3 linked regions of the Ovis aries genome follow. The protein of the gene in region 2 purifies or fractionates together with the protein of the main gene of each other region. This does not show direct contact. Links are inferred from orthologs where the notes say so. Each region holds a gene or a part of one and is shown on either strand. Other genes may lie near its edges.

Region 1 (3,989 bases), on a different chromosome or scaffold from region 2:
GCACCTATCAACAGTAGCTCTCTGCTATTAATATTAAGCCATGTAGACTGAAGTGCAATAAATGGAAAACTCTGACATGACTGTTTCTGGGACAATCTCTGATCACTTGAGCTTGCGCTTCTCGTAGTAACAGTTGCCATTTTTGTGAGCACTTCTTAGGTATCAGATACTACGATGGATTTACGATCTCATTTAACCCTTGTTAGTTGCTCAGTCCGGAGAAGGCAATGGTACCCCACTCCAGTACTCTTGCCTGGAAAATCCCATGGATGGAGGAGCGTGGTGGGCTGCAGTCCATGGGGTCGCTAAGAGTCGTACACCACTGAGCGACTTCATTTTCACTTTTCACCTTCATGCACTGGAGAAGGAAATGGCAACTCACTCCAGTATTCTTGCCTGGAGAATCCCAGTGACGGGGGAGCCTGGCGGGCTGCCGTCTATGGGGTCGCACAGAGTCGGACACGACTGAAGCGACTTAGCAGTAGCAGCAGCAATTGCTCAGTCGTCTGCCACTCTGAGACCCCATGGACTATACCCCGCCAGGCTCCTCTGTCTACGGAATTCTCCAGGCAAGAATACTGGAGTGGGTGGCCATTTCCTTCTCCAGAGGATCTTTTCCATTCAGAGATCGAAGCCGGGTTTCCCGAATTGCAGGCAGATTCTTTTACCACCTGAGCCTCCAGGGAAACCCCTATTCAATCCTTAGGAAAACCCTATGAAGTTGGCACTATTATTGTCTCTATTTTGCAGGTTAGGAAATTTAGGCTTAAATAAGCTATTGCCTCTCCCTGAATATTTTTTGAATAAATTCTTGTTCGTTAAATGCTTAATAAAGTGCTAAGTTAATAAATTATCAACGCTATTTTTAGACCAGCCGAGGTTAAACCCTACAGGAGTGACGTTCCTATTCTTTGCCACAACGTGACGTCACGACCAATCCCAGGACTACATTCCCAGCCAAGAGCCTCCGCCGACATCTCGCGAAAGCCGCGGTTTCTTCCAACCTATTTTGGGCATGCGCGCGGCTTCGAGTACCTTGGCTAGAGTGGTTTGATGATTTTCCGTCAGTCTCCCTAGAGTAGAGTTTTACCATCGAGGCACTTATTTCCTTCCAGTCACTCCAGTTCTCGCGAGACTTGCTACTCCTGCTCTTTCCCCACCCCGCCCCCGCGCTTGCGCAGAGCTCTTCAAAGCAGAAGGTCGCGCTTGGAGGAAGTGGCGGCTTTGGGTCCCGTGGCCGCCGCGCCGTTACTACTTCTCGGAAGCTCCGCTCGGCCGCTTGCCGAGACACCCCGCCGCCAAGATGCCTCGAATTATGATTAAGGGGGGCGTGTGGAGGAATACCGAGGTAAGTCCCCTTTTCCCGCCGTCTGCCCTCCGCCCCTCCGGCTGCGGGTGCGCACGCGCGCAGAGGTCCGGGAGGTGGAGAGGATGCCTTCGGGGTCTGCGTGGGGGGTGGTGCGGGGCCTTTACCCTGTGCCTGGACCTCAGTTATCTGAGCATCTCAAGGACAGGGACCGTGATTTAACCGCTTGATTACCTGCGGGGCACTCGTTAGGCCCTCAGTGAACATTTGTTGAGCTGACGCGTCCTCCGCCGTGGTGGAACTCACAGTAGGAGGGGGACACAGGACAATTGCGATAGTCGGTCTTCTAAGCCCCGCCCCCCGCACCCCACCGTTCCTCATCCCAGGCTCCGCGACTCTTTGCTGTTGAAAAATGAAGAGGTGCTGTGGCCACAACTTTGTTCTTTCCTTGAGTTCCTTGCTGAGGGGAAGCAGTTTGAGTGCCAGGTCCTAAGTACCTGGTTGTGTCCGCGTCCCCGCGGTCATGTTACCACGGCGTAACTTGTCCGCCCTCCGGTCACCCAAGGCCTGTCTCTTCCGCTTCATGTTGGGTAGAAGCCAGATAGGCCTACCATAGTCTCTTTGCTTCCAGAAATGTAGTGGATCGTGCCATTGGTGAACCAAAGAACAGTAGAAGAGTAAAATAGAAACAAGGTTTTAGTGCAGTTTCTGTTTATAGTGCCCTGAACTTGTCAGTTTCCCCAGAACACTCTGTCTTTTTACATCTTGCACCTTCTTGAAATATCCTCCTACTGCTTGGCATCTTTCTGACCTTCCTTCAAAAACAGTTCAGAAACTCTTCTGAAATTGGTCCAGAAGACCCATCCATTTGCCTGGTCATCCGGTAAAAAGTATTTGCACCTGCAATGGTCCCTGGACACCTCTTCTCATCCATTTGTTATGGTTTGCTTTTTTTTTTTTTTTGCAAGCATCACATCCTGTTTGATGCTGGGATTATTAACCTCTCAGAGACTCAGGTTTCTAATGGGGATGATAATAATATACTTATCTCTCGGAATTAAATGAGTCACTGCATTTGGAATATTTAGAACAGAGTCTGGCACATAGTAATCTTTCAGAAAGTACTACCTGCTGTTTCTTTTCCCCAGTAGACAGCACTGCAAGTGCGCAGGATCAGATCTTGCTATCTTTAGAACTCCGGACAGTGCCAAACAAAGTTTGCTTGGGAAATTTTGCTGAATGGATCTAGTAGGGTGTATAACTGTAGTATATACTTAGTTGAAGATGTGATTAAGTATAGCAGTACTGCAACAAAGTTACAAATTAAGTCAGTGAGAACCTTGCCTCTCAGCTTGCACAGAGGGGACCAGGCTGTTTCAGTTGGAGAAGAGATGACTTCTGAGGGAGAGACAGATGTACCAAATCAAGTAACAGCAGGATTCTGATGCTGTGGCCAAAGCCCTGCAGTCCTTGAGTCTCAGATGTTAGGGGTGTGGAGTGGCGAGGAGTGGCTAACATATGAGGCATATAGCTCAAGTTCATTGTGGGGAAAAAACCCTAAAAGTAAAATGCCCTGAGTGCATTCATCTATGGCTCTGATATCCCTGGTGTCTTTGGTTTAGCCTGACAGGCTCCCTTGGGATTGGTGAATTCTTTATTGGAATGGGTGCCCTGGTGAAATAGTATCTAGAGACTGGGGGGAAATTAGAGGCAGAGTTGATTGGTGACTTAGGGGAGACGTACTCAATTCTTAGGTTAGACCTGAGATATGGATTCTTAGGTGAGAGTGGGGGCTGTGGGACTGGAGAGAAAATGCTGTTCATAAACTGGGAAGCCTCAATTGGAAATTGGATTCACTTGAGTCTTGACTTTTTGAGGGCTGGATGTGTCCTGTTTTATCTTGTTTTCTCAAGTATTGATATACAAGACCTGATACAAGGCTGGTGTTTGGGCAGTATTTTTTGTGAATCAGTAAATCAATGAGCCATAATCTTTTTAAGAGACTAACAACCACACATTGGAGAATTCTTTTTAAAATCTCTGTCAAGTGGGGTTTCTCACATTGGGCTGTACCCACTCAATTTTTGGATGGGATTGGGGGAGGGGTTGTGTGTAAGGGAGGGTAGGATATCCTTCTAAGGGAGTTCTTAATTTCTTTCATTTTGTTGATTCTGGGTTGCTGTTTTTTTTTAAATTTTTATTATTGTAATGAAGTTTTATACTTTTGTTTTAAATTTAGGATATACGTGCGTGTTTATATCTCTTTCTCCCTAGTACAACCCAGTTAGAGTTAATTTAAATCTTGTCTTTTCTCACTTGGAGTTTTGTGAATGAATACATTGTTTTTCCTTTGAAAAAATTTAGGATGAAATTCTGAAAGCAGCGGTGATGAAATATGGGAAAAACCAGTGGTCTAGGATTGCCTCACTGCTGCATAGAAAGTCAGCAAAGCAGTGCAAAGCCAGATGGTATGTATCAGCTAATGAGTGGAAAACACAAAATGACCTTCATTATGATGAGGAAAATGTCATTTCTTTGAACCTTACCAAAGAAAAGCAGGCACTGTGATGTAACAGAAAGTAGGGAGTGGGAGTTGGGAATTTCAGTGTGAGAATTAGCTGTCTTTTGCTTCGTAAGTGGTCTTAGGCAAGCCATTTTCTGTCCCCTCTCTCCTGCCATTGTT
Region 2 (4,740 bases):
CCTACACCAAAAGCTCTCCTGCCCCTGCCCCTGCCCCTTGACCCTCTGCAGCAGTCAGCTCCCCCAGTCAATCTCTTGCCGAGTTAACTCTATCCGCCTTTTACAGATGAACAAACAGGTAATTAACATTCCAAAGCCAGCTGAAATTCAAACCCACATCCAATTCCAAAGCCCAAGCTCCTAAACAGAAACTGCGACCCACACTGTAAAGCGATGCCATGCGAATTCACGCGCCGTGGGAAGGGAAGCGCACCAAGCAGTGGGTCCAACACGTCTTGGCAGAGCGATATTCAGCAGGTGAGTCCCGTAATCTCATTCTTCCCATTTCATGGATAAAACTATCACCCAAACCTGCTTGCTTGGCCAAGTATTTGCTCCGAGTGCAGTCACACGAGGTGCTTCTGCTAGGAAAATGGCAAATACCCAGAGTATGCGAGCGAAGACTCTGCTAGCTGCAAAGCACTGTGCAAACGCGCTGTGCGGGGCGGGGGCGCTGAGCCTGACGGCTCCGCTGAAGGCTGCGCTGCTGCTGCTGAGTCGCTTCAGTCGTGTCCGACTCTGTGCGACCCCACAGACCGCAGCCCGCCAGGCTCCCCGTCCACAGGATTTTCCAGGCAAGAGCGCTGGAGTGGGGTGCCACTGCCTCCTCCGGAAGGCTGTGCTGCTTCTCTTAAATGGGCCCAAAGTCCGTGAGAAGACAACCACGGGACTGGGAGCAGCGAAGGACGAGCAATCTAAACAGTCAGATTCTAGGTTTCATATTCTCAACCTCCAAGAGGCTCTCACTGATGCCCGCCTCTCTGGCACCTCTAATAGGGCCTGGCACAGCTTAGGCACTCGGTGAACCACCGCTGAGCAAGAACCTCAAGGAGCCCCAGCCGCCCGCGCCCTGCCCTCCGAGGCTCCGGCCCGCCCCGGCCCCGCACAGAGCAGGGCACCTGGCAGTTCATGTTGTCCTCCGCCTCGATGAGCTTGCCCCGATACACCTCGCCAGTGTTCGTCTCACACGTCACGATGTGGCCCTCGGCCTCGTGGAGGACTTTGATCGGCACTCCGATAGACATCCCGGCAGGAAGAGAGTTCTGCGGTGAGAGAGAGACAGCAGTTAGCTCATCTTCCGACGCCCAAGAACGCATGTGCAAACACCACAACCCCTCAAGGCTGACACTCTGGAAAACTCAGCAAAGTTGCCAGAGGTGCACTAGTTTTTTTTTTAGCTGAATTCTGAGCTTGAAGGACCCATCTGGCAAACACGTGCAGGGTGTGAGTGGGGAGGAACAGGGCCTCAACAGGGGGAAAGCTGACGGGAAAGAGCTGCCTCCCATCTTCCTTCCACCACAGGGCTCTTGAGTGCGCATGTTAAGTCGCTTTTCTGACTCTCTGCGACCCCATGGACTGTAGCCCACCAGGTTCCTCTGTCCGTGGGATTCTCCAGGCAACAATACTGGAGTGGGCTGCCACGCCCTTTTCCAGGGGATCTTCCCCACCCAGGGATGGAGCCCACGTCTCTTACATCTCCTGCACTGGCAAGAGGTCTTTTTAACCACTAGCGCCATCTGGGAAGCTCAGACGGGGCTGTGCGTTTAATTCAACCCATTAAGCACTCTGACCGTCTACTTACTTCACCATTAAGCTAAAGAGAAAATATCCAAGTGTTCACAAGGTGGCGGCGTGCTACAAGTGGGAAACGCTCACCCTGGAGGGAAAATATAACCAGGGAGAACCCCGACTTGATCTAATTAAGAGAGAAAAAAAGCAAGTGGATTTTTTCAATCCCAAGACGGGTGTATAAAACGAAAACTTCTGTAAAATGAAATGCTTTCTGCTCTCCAGTAATCAAGGCACGTCGCAGCCATCTGGTATTCCAGCCTTCCAAATGCAAATTTTTAAGCCCAGGTAAAAACCATACTGGCTTTTTGGCAGCTGTCCGTTACTTCCTGTAAGTGCTGAGGAGCTGGGGGATGTCAGAAGCACAAGAGGCGGTCCCTCGTACCTTAACTTTAGGGTAAAGGAGGAATTAGGCTGTGAACAGCCGAAAAGCAGGAATTGGCCCCAGATAGCTGAGATGCATGTGAAAGAAAAGATTTCAGGAAGCCCGGACTCTTGCATCTTCCCAAAGAACAGAAAAGTATTAAATCTCTTCAGGCCGGAGATCTGGTCTCCATTACTCAACAGTCATCTTTTAATATTCAGATTACCTGCCCCTTGCTGCAAACTTCTTTGTAGCCTGACTCCACCCCACCCAACATTTCTCTCTCCCAGGGGTCGCCTGAAATCCTGTCTTCCGGGCTCGGAGTCCTCATGATTCCCACCGAATAAACCTAATTCTCAGCTTTTAGGTGGCGGTATTTTTTCGGTTGACACGCAGCAGGAGGTCGAAAGAGAGGAAAAGGACCGGGAGAGGTTAGGAAAAAACAGGTTCCATTGCTGAGGACAACGCTGAACCGCAGCTGGGGGAACCGGGGCAGCACAGAGACTACCCCACGGAAGGGCAGCCGGAGTTACAAGACGCTGCAACACGATTTAGACAGAAGCAAGGAAATGTGATAACCTGTGTTTCCAGCGTTAGGGGATCAGGTCCTGGAAGGGGGAGGGAGGCAGAGATGCCAAGGGCTTTGAAAAGAAATCAGCCAAGTAGGGATCTGGGGGGAAGGTGGCCACCAGCCAGGAACGATCTCAAGACCACTGCCTGGATACTTCGAGAAACACCGGCCTGGAGAGGTTCGGAAACCGAAGAGCAAGTACTTCGGGGAAAAAGCTAACGAACGCACCTCCAGGCGCTTGGGAGGCGCCGCTGGGGGTCGGGGTGGCCCAGCTCCCCGCGGCTCTCCCTCCACGAGCACCGCAGGGCTCCTCGGCGGCGCGTCCTCCTCCAGCCCCCCGGCCCCCCGCGGGACCTCGGCCTAGCCCTCGCCCTCCCCGCACCCCCGGCCCCGTCCTCACCGGCTCCGGGCTCCTCTTTCAGAGGCGGCAGGGCAGACGGAACTCCGGCGACTGCGAAGGCGTGAGGGCGCGAATGGCGGGCCGCGCGCTCCCAGAATACCACGCGTTCCCAAAATGCCTCGCGCAGGGCCCGCCCCCTTCCTTTACCCGAGTGGCGGCGGGCGACGTCTCTCGCCTTCGCGTTCATCCTTACCGCGCCGGCTGGGGAACCCGAGCTCGGGTACAATAGTTCCGGGCCCGGGGAAGAGCGGGGCTGATGACCGGACCCAGGTGCCGCCGGAAACAGCGACCCTCGGGCCGGCCCGGGCCGAGGGGGACTCGCGGTCCCCAGCGCCCGACGCCAGACGCGGGCTGGACAGCGAGGCGGGCGGCGGCGGCGGCGGGGGCCCGGGGCCGGGACCTGCCCCCGCAGGGGAAGCCTGGGAAGCCGACGGCGCCGGGGAAGGGGTGCCCCGAGCGAGGCGAGTGCCCCCGGCGTGCGGACAGGGAGAGCGGGGACCCGGAGCAGCGGGCCGGGGGGCCGCCGGCGTGGGAGCCGGGGCGGGCCGGGGCGGGCCGGGGCGGGGCCTGGGGCCGCCGCCGCCTCCCGCCCCCGCTCCCCCCGGGGCGCTGGTGCTGGCCGCCCGGGGAGCCGGCGCGCGCCGGCCGCGCGCTCCCGTCCCCAGTCGACGCCAGAGCTGCAGCCCGCGCCGGGCCGGGGCCATGGGAGCCCCGCGCCGCCCGGGTCATGAGGACGGAGGTGGACGCGCAGGCAGCGGGGCCGCCGCTCGAGCCCGGTCAGTGTGGTCCCCCCGTCACCCCGGGGATCGCGGTGGGCGCGGGGCAGGGCCCCGGGGATCGGGGGGCGGCCCTGACCCCGGGGATCGCGGTGGGCGCCGGGCAGGGCCCCGGGGATCGGGGGGCGGCCCTGACCCCGGGGATCGCGGTGGGCGCGGGGCAGGGCCCTGGGGATCGGGGGGCGGCCCTGACCCCGGGGATCGCGGTGGGCGCGGGGCAGGGCCCCGGGGATCGGGGGGCGGCCCTGACCCCGGGGATCGCGGTGGGCGCGGGGCAGGGCCCTGGGGATCGGGGATCCGGGATCAGGGTTGGGGGGCAGCCCTCAGCCTGGGAATCGAGTTTGGGGGGGAACCCCGCCCGAGCGCCGGGCAGGGTCCGGCCGCGCGACCTTGGGCCGACCGCCGCCGCGGCCCCGGCTGTTGAGCTCTGAGCAAAACCTGGGCAGGTGTGCGCTCCGGCGGGTCCCGCCGGGCCGGCTACGGTCAGTTGGGGTTTGTTTGTTTTTCCTGATAACTCCCTGAGCAGGGACACCCCTGGGCATCTCTCGCTTGCGGTCATGGAGGGAAGGAGGGTCCTGGTTGAGCGGCCGGGGCGGGGGGAGGGGTCACCTTTCCCTGGAGCGAAAAGTCCTCTTTGGAGCTGCTTTGGGGAGAGCCTGTCCCCTCTCCGGTAACTGAGGCCTTAGACGGGGCAGGCAACTGGCAGGGCAGGGAGGGACAGCCTGCCCCTGGCCTCCCAGACTCCTGCCTGTTGTCTTGCTACGGAGTCTTCCTTCTCTAGTCCCGCCTTCCCCAGCGCCTGAGTTCCTTTGCTGGGGGGTGGGGAAGGGGGCACACACTGATAAATCAGCGGCCAGCCTCCGTGTGCTTTTCTGAGTGGGAGAGGGCGAGCAGTGGTTCCCCATCCCCTCTGCAACATACAGTTGACAAGAAAGGGCTGGTGAACTCTACAGTGAGGTGCCCGCACGGGGGAGACCCCAGCCCTGAGGCATCCATGGGGCACGACTGTGGCTGCAGCAAG
Region 3 (4,047 bases), on a different chromosome or scaffold from region 2:
TCTGGCTCTGATCACTATTCCTCCAACTCTCTATTACACAGCGCCCCCTAGACGTCCAATTCAGCATTTCCAAACCCAAACCCTGATTCTCCCTAAAAGAGCTTCTCATTTCCTGTAGCACTCAAAGAGGCCAAAATCTTGGGCTTCAGCCGCAGACTTCCCTTATCAGGCTTCCTGTCCGTTGGTCACTAAGTTCTGTGACCTCCTGCCTCGGGCCTTCCGTATTGTGTTCTCTATCCATCCTCGCTGCCAGGCCCTCAACACCTCTGGGTCTTCAGGTTCTCTTTCTCCTCCCTATATCTTTCTTTGCTTCGTTCTTTTCCATCCCTGTAGCAGGTGTTCACAAAGAAAATGTAGAAATTCTCTAGAAAGGAAAATGTTGAGATTCTCTCAGGTCTCCGCCAGGCTGTTCATAACTCCTCTCCACTGTAATTCCTCACCATGAGTTTTTTTTTCTTTTCCTTCCTATCTTCAGTGTGTGTTTAGATGTTTATTTACTTTTTGTTTGTTTGAGATATAGAATAGAAAGGAGTTGGTGGCTAAATTGCCACAATCTATTAAAAAATATACTAAGGCCCATACAAAGCCCAATTTAGTCATTACCTCAATTTTCTCAGGATTTTGAAGGACCTAAATAGAGACACAAGAACCATCTTTGAATTAGGCAATGGAAAACGCTGACATAAAATGGCTGCAGAACGCAATAAAATTATGAGCTAAAAATGAGGGTAAGAGGAGATCATAAGGAAATTTAGAAAGGGAAGAACGGGATACTTTCAAAATACTGCTTATGACAGTATTGCATGGGATGCAACAAAAACACACGCGTCTCCCCGAGCCAGCCAGGAGTCGAACCTGGAATCTTCTGATCCGTAGTCAGACGCGTTATCCATTGCGCCACTGGCCCCGAGACGACTTCGCTGGCCCCAATGATGACACTTCAAGCTTATACTGCAGGGCTTCATGGGACGTGTAGTCTCTGCACGGAGTTCTACGAGTACACGAAGCATTATGGGAGATTAAGTTCGTCGAGAATCAGACCCTGAGATTGGTGACTGTTCCGAAGCCTCGCCGTACGTCACTGTGAAGCCCGCGGATTGGCGAGAAGAGCCACTCCCCACCCTTCCTCCTCCAGCTCTAGAGCCGTGGGAGACGCTCTGGTTGTTAAGGTGAAACGTCCCGCCTTCTGGGGGCTTTTTTCCGGCTTTGTGATTGGCTGCTAGCTTCAGGGAATCTCGGCGTGGATTGCGCGAGGGAAAAGATGGCGGCGATGGCGGTCGGTGGTGCCGGTGGAAGCCGCGTGTCCAGCGGGAGGGACCTGAATTGCGTCCCCGAAATAGCTGACACACTGGGGGCTGTGGCCAAGCAGGGGTGAGGGCCTGGACCTCCGCGAGCTGAATGCGGGGTCCGAACTCGGGGACCGAGAGGGACAGACCAGTCATCCCCGAGAGGCAGGGGTGAGGGGGTCGAAGTGGATGAGACCAGGGCGGGAGAAACCATTTAGTCCTTCGGGGGGAGAAGCCTCGGGCCCTGGAGCTTGAGAGGAGGGCGGGAAACTTATTGGGGGCGTGTGGTCACTGAACCCCAAAGTCGGAGGAGTTATCAAGTAAATTCAAAAAGGGGGCGTAGAGACCTCCAGGGCCCCGTGTGAGATTGGGAGAAATAGTTAGGAGGTTAGGGAGAGGAGAGTTAAACCATGAGGGGGGATACTTAGGCAGTACTGCTGCCGATCTGGATGTGACAGTCTCGGAAAACCAGTGACAGCAGAGTAGAAAGTCCACGTGGTGTGGATATTCATCTTTTCTCTTAACTCATCTTTTCCATGGCTGTGTCCTGGCGAGAAATTGAGGCACAGTGCAGCGGAAGTGATATGCCCCAAGGTTGGCTGAATTCAGCAGTCTAGTCGGGTCGCTGGTGGCAGCTGAAAGGGTTGTGCAGAATCAAGAGAGCCAGTCCAATTACTTGGATCTCTGGGCACTGCTGCTGTCTTTACATGACGATTCTGGGTCTGTCGCGGTTGTAGGTTTGATTTCCTCTGCATGCCTGTGTTCCACCCGCGTTTCAAGAGGGAATTCACTCAGGAACCTGCTAAGAGTCGGCCGGGCCCCCAGACACGATCAGACCTACTGCTGTCAGGAAGGGGTAGGGAGCATCCCACATGCCCCTTAATTATTAGAGGCAGTAACAACTTATGCTTTATCAGTGCCTTCCTCCTCTTCCTTTCTTCACTTGGATATATTGGTTCGCCCCACGGATATAGATAACTCCTTACCTACCTACTAAAAGCCTTAGTTCCCTATTCTGTCAGGCTCTCCTGTATCTGTGATAGAAAAAGTCTTTGTCTCATCTGTAACTCTATTCCCTGTTAAGAACTAGAAATTGAATGAGTAAAGTGCTGAACCTTATTTAGTCTTTGTCTTTCTTGGGTGGGGGAGTGCAGACTGGAATACACTAATTGTGGGAAAGCTTTCTCCATGGATTCGTCCAGACTCAAAAGTGGAGAAGATACGCAGGAACTCTGAGGCGGTAAGACTGACCTCTTCACTGACTAAATATCAGTAAACAAGTTGGGTGGGGAGAGCACTTTTTCCCCACTCTGTAACTTAGTAAATTTGATATAATGCAATTAAAGCTATTTGAGTTGCTAGCTCTTAACTTTATCCTTTTAATCTCTATTCCAGGCTATGTTACAGGAGCTGAATTTTGGGGCATATTTGGGTCTTCCAGCTTTTCTGCTGCCCCTAAATCAGGAAGATAACACAAACTTGGCGAGAGTTTTGACCAATCACATCCACACTGGCCACCACTCCTCCATGGTATGGCAAGGGCTTCCTTCCCTGCTGCATATTATGATAGTCAGGCTGTGCTAAGTATCTTCTTGTTCCTAGCCATTCAGTGAAGGGTGCATTTGGGAGAACTGAAATGTCAGTACTGCCTACCCACACTAAGAGTGGTGAGCAAAGTATTATAAAACGTATAGAATATCAGTTATTTCCCACAACTTCTAGAGATAAAAGACAACATATAATCACAAATTGGGAATAGGATATAAGGGGATTAGCTTGAAATCTGGATCAAGATCTTTTTAATTGAAGGAAGCTTTCTGGACCCAATGGGTTCAAAACAGTTCTAAATAGGGTGTGGAACCTATTTATTGTTCATGTGCAGTTCTGGATGCGGGTGCCATTGGTGGCACCAGAGGACCTGAGAGATGATATAATTGAGAACGCACCAACTTCTCACACAGAGGAGTACAGTGGAGAGGAGAAGACATGGATGTGGTATGTTTCCTTTTGCCACTGTACCTGGGGTGGAGGGAAGTACAGAGTGGAACCTGTAGGAAGGTCTCCCTGAGGTGTGGTGATTAGTGGGCCGTATGTATTTGATGGAGCTTCCCTGGTGGCTCAGACAGTAAATGGTCCGCCTGCAATGCTGGAGACCTGGGTTCAATCCCTAGGTCAGGAAGACCCTCTGGAGAAGGAACTGGCAACCCACTCTAGTATTCTTGCCTGGAAAATTCCATGGACAGAGGAGCCTGGAGGGCTGCAGTCCATGGAGTCACAAGAGTTGGACATGACTGAGCAACTAACTTCTGTGTTTTAACTCTGCACAGGTGGCACAACTTCCGGACCTTGTGTGATTACAGCAAGAGGATTGCAGTGGGTGAGTCCACAAAGATCCTGGGATAGGTTATCCTTCTCTGAAATCCTGTGACTAAAAATCAGGAGTCTCATGTATACTTGGCTGCTGGGGCATACTTTCTCCATGCTTTAGTCTGCCTTGCTCTTAAGGAGGAGACAGATCTTGCACAAAAGAGCATGCAAAGATTCTGGCCTGTATGATTGACAGGTCTTTGTTTTCCCTTTTGTAGCTCTTGAAATTGGTGCTGACCTCCCATCTAACCATGTCATTGATCGTTGGCTTGGGGAGCCCATCAAAGCAGCCATTCTCCCCACCAGCATTTTCCTGACCAATAAGAAGGGATTCCCTGTTCTTTCTAAGATGCACCAGAGGCTGATCTTCCGACTTCTCAAGGTGTGTAGTGGA

What was found.
Region 1: the proteins of SNRPD3 (region 2) and CDC5L purify together in Homo sapiens (affinity purification with mass spectrometry; 3 studies listed by BioGRID and IntAct, with this or other methods). This does not show direct contact. The link is inferred for Ovis aries from reciprocal best matches to the Homo sapiens genes SNRPD3 and CDC5L.
Region 3: the proteins of SNRPD3 (region 2) and PRMT5 purify together in Homo sapiens (affinity purification with mass spectrometry; 3 studies listed by BioGRID and IntAct, with this or other methods). This does not show direct contact. The link is inferred for Ovis aries from reciprocal best matches to the Homo sapiens genes SNRPD3 and PRMT5.

What each region holds. Positions count from the first base shown.
Region 1 is NC_056073.1:17,846,965-17,850,953, forward strand, and holds the start of CDC5L (cell division cycle 5-like protein), read left to right. Parts: upstream 1-1,189; 5' UTR 1,190-1,303; coding exon 1,304-1,348; intron 1,349-3,670; coding exon 3,671-3,774; intron 3,775-3,989.
Region 2 is NC_056070.1:71,547,309-71,552,048, forward strand, and holds the start of SNRPD3 (small nuclear ribonucleoprotein Sm D3), read right to left. Parts: upstream 3,060-4,740; 5' UTR 2,944-3,059; intron 1,083-2,943; 5' UTR 1,065-1,082; coding exon 939-1,064; intron 1-938. Other genes in the region: protein GUCD1, read left to right, coding at 3,200-3,404. UniProt on the Homo sapiens protein: Plays a role in pre-mRNA splicing as a core component of the spliceosomal U1, U2, U4 and U5 small nuclear ribonucleoproteins (snRNPs), the building blocks of the spliceosome.
Region 3 is NC_056060.1:21,732,880-21,736,926, forward strand, and holds the start of PRMT5 (protein arginine N-methyltransferase 5), read left to right. Parts: upstream 1-1,247; 5' UTR 1,248-1,261; coding exon 1,262-1,371; exon of another isoform or gene 1,372-1,398; coding exon of another isoform or gene 1,399-1,457; intron 1,458-2,023; coding exon 2,024-2,142; intron 2,143-2,440; coding exon 2,441-2,526; intron 2,527-2,681; coding exon 2,682-2,816; intron 2,817-3,168; coding exon 3,169-3,281; intron 3,282-3,613; coding exon 3,614-3,663; intron 3,664-3,871; coding exon 3,872-4,035; intron 4,036-4,047. UniProt on the Homo sapiens protein: Arginine methyltransferase that can both catalyze the formation of omega-N monomethylarginine (MMA) and symmetrical dimethylarginine (sDMA), with a preference for the formation of MMA.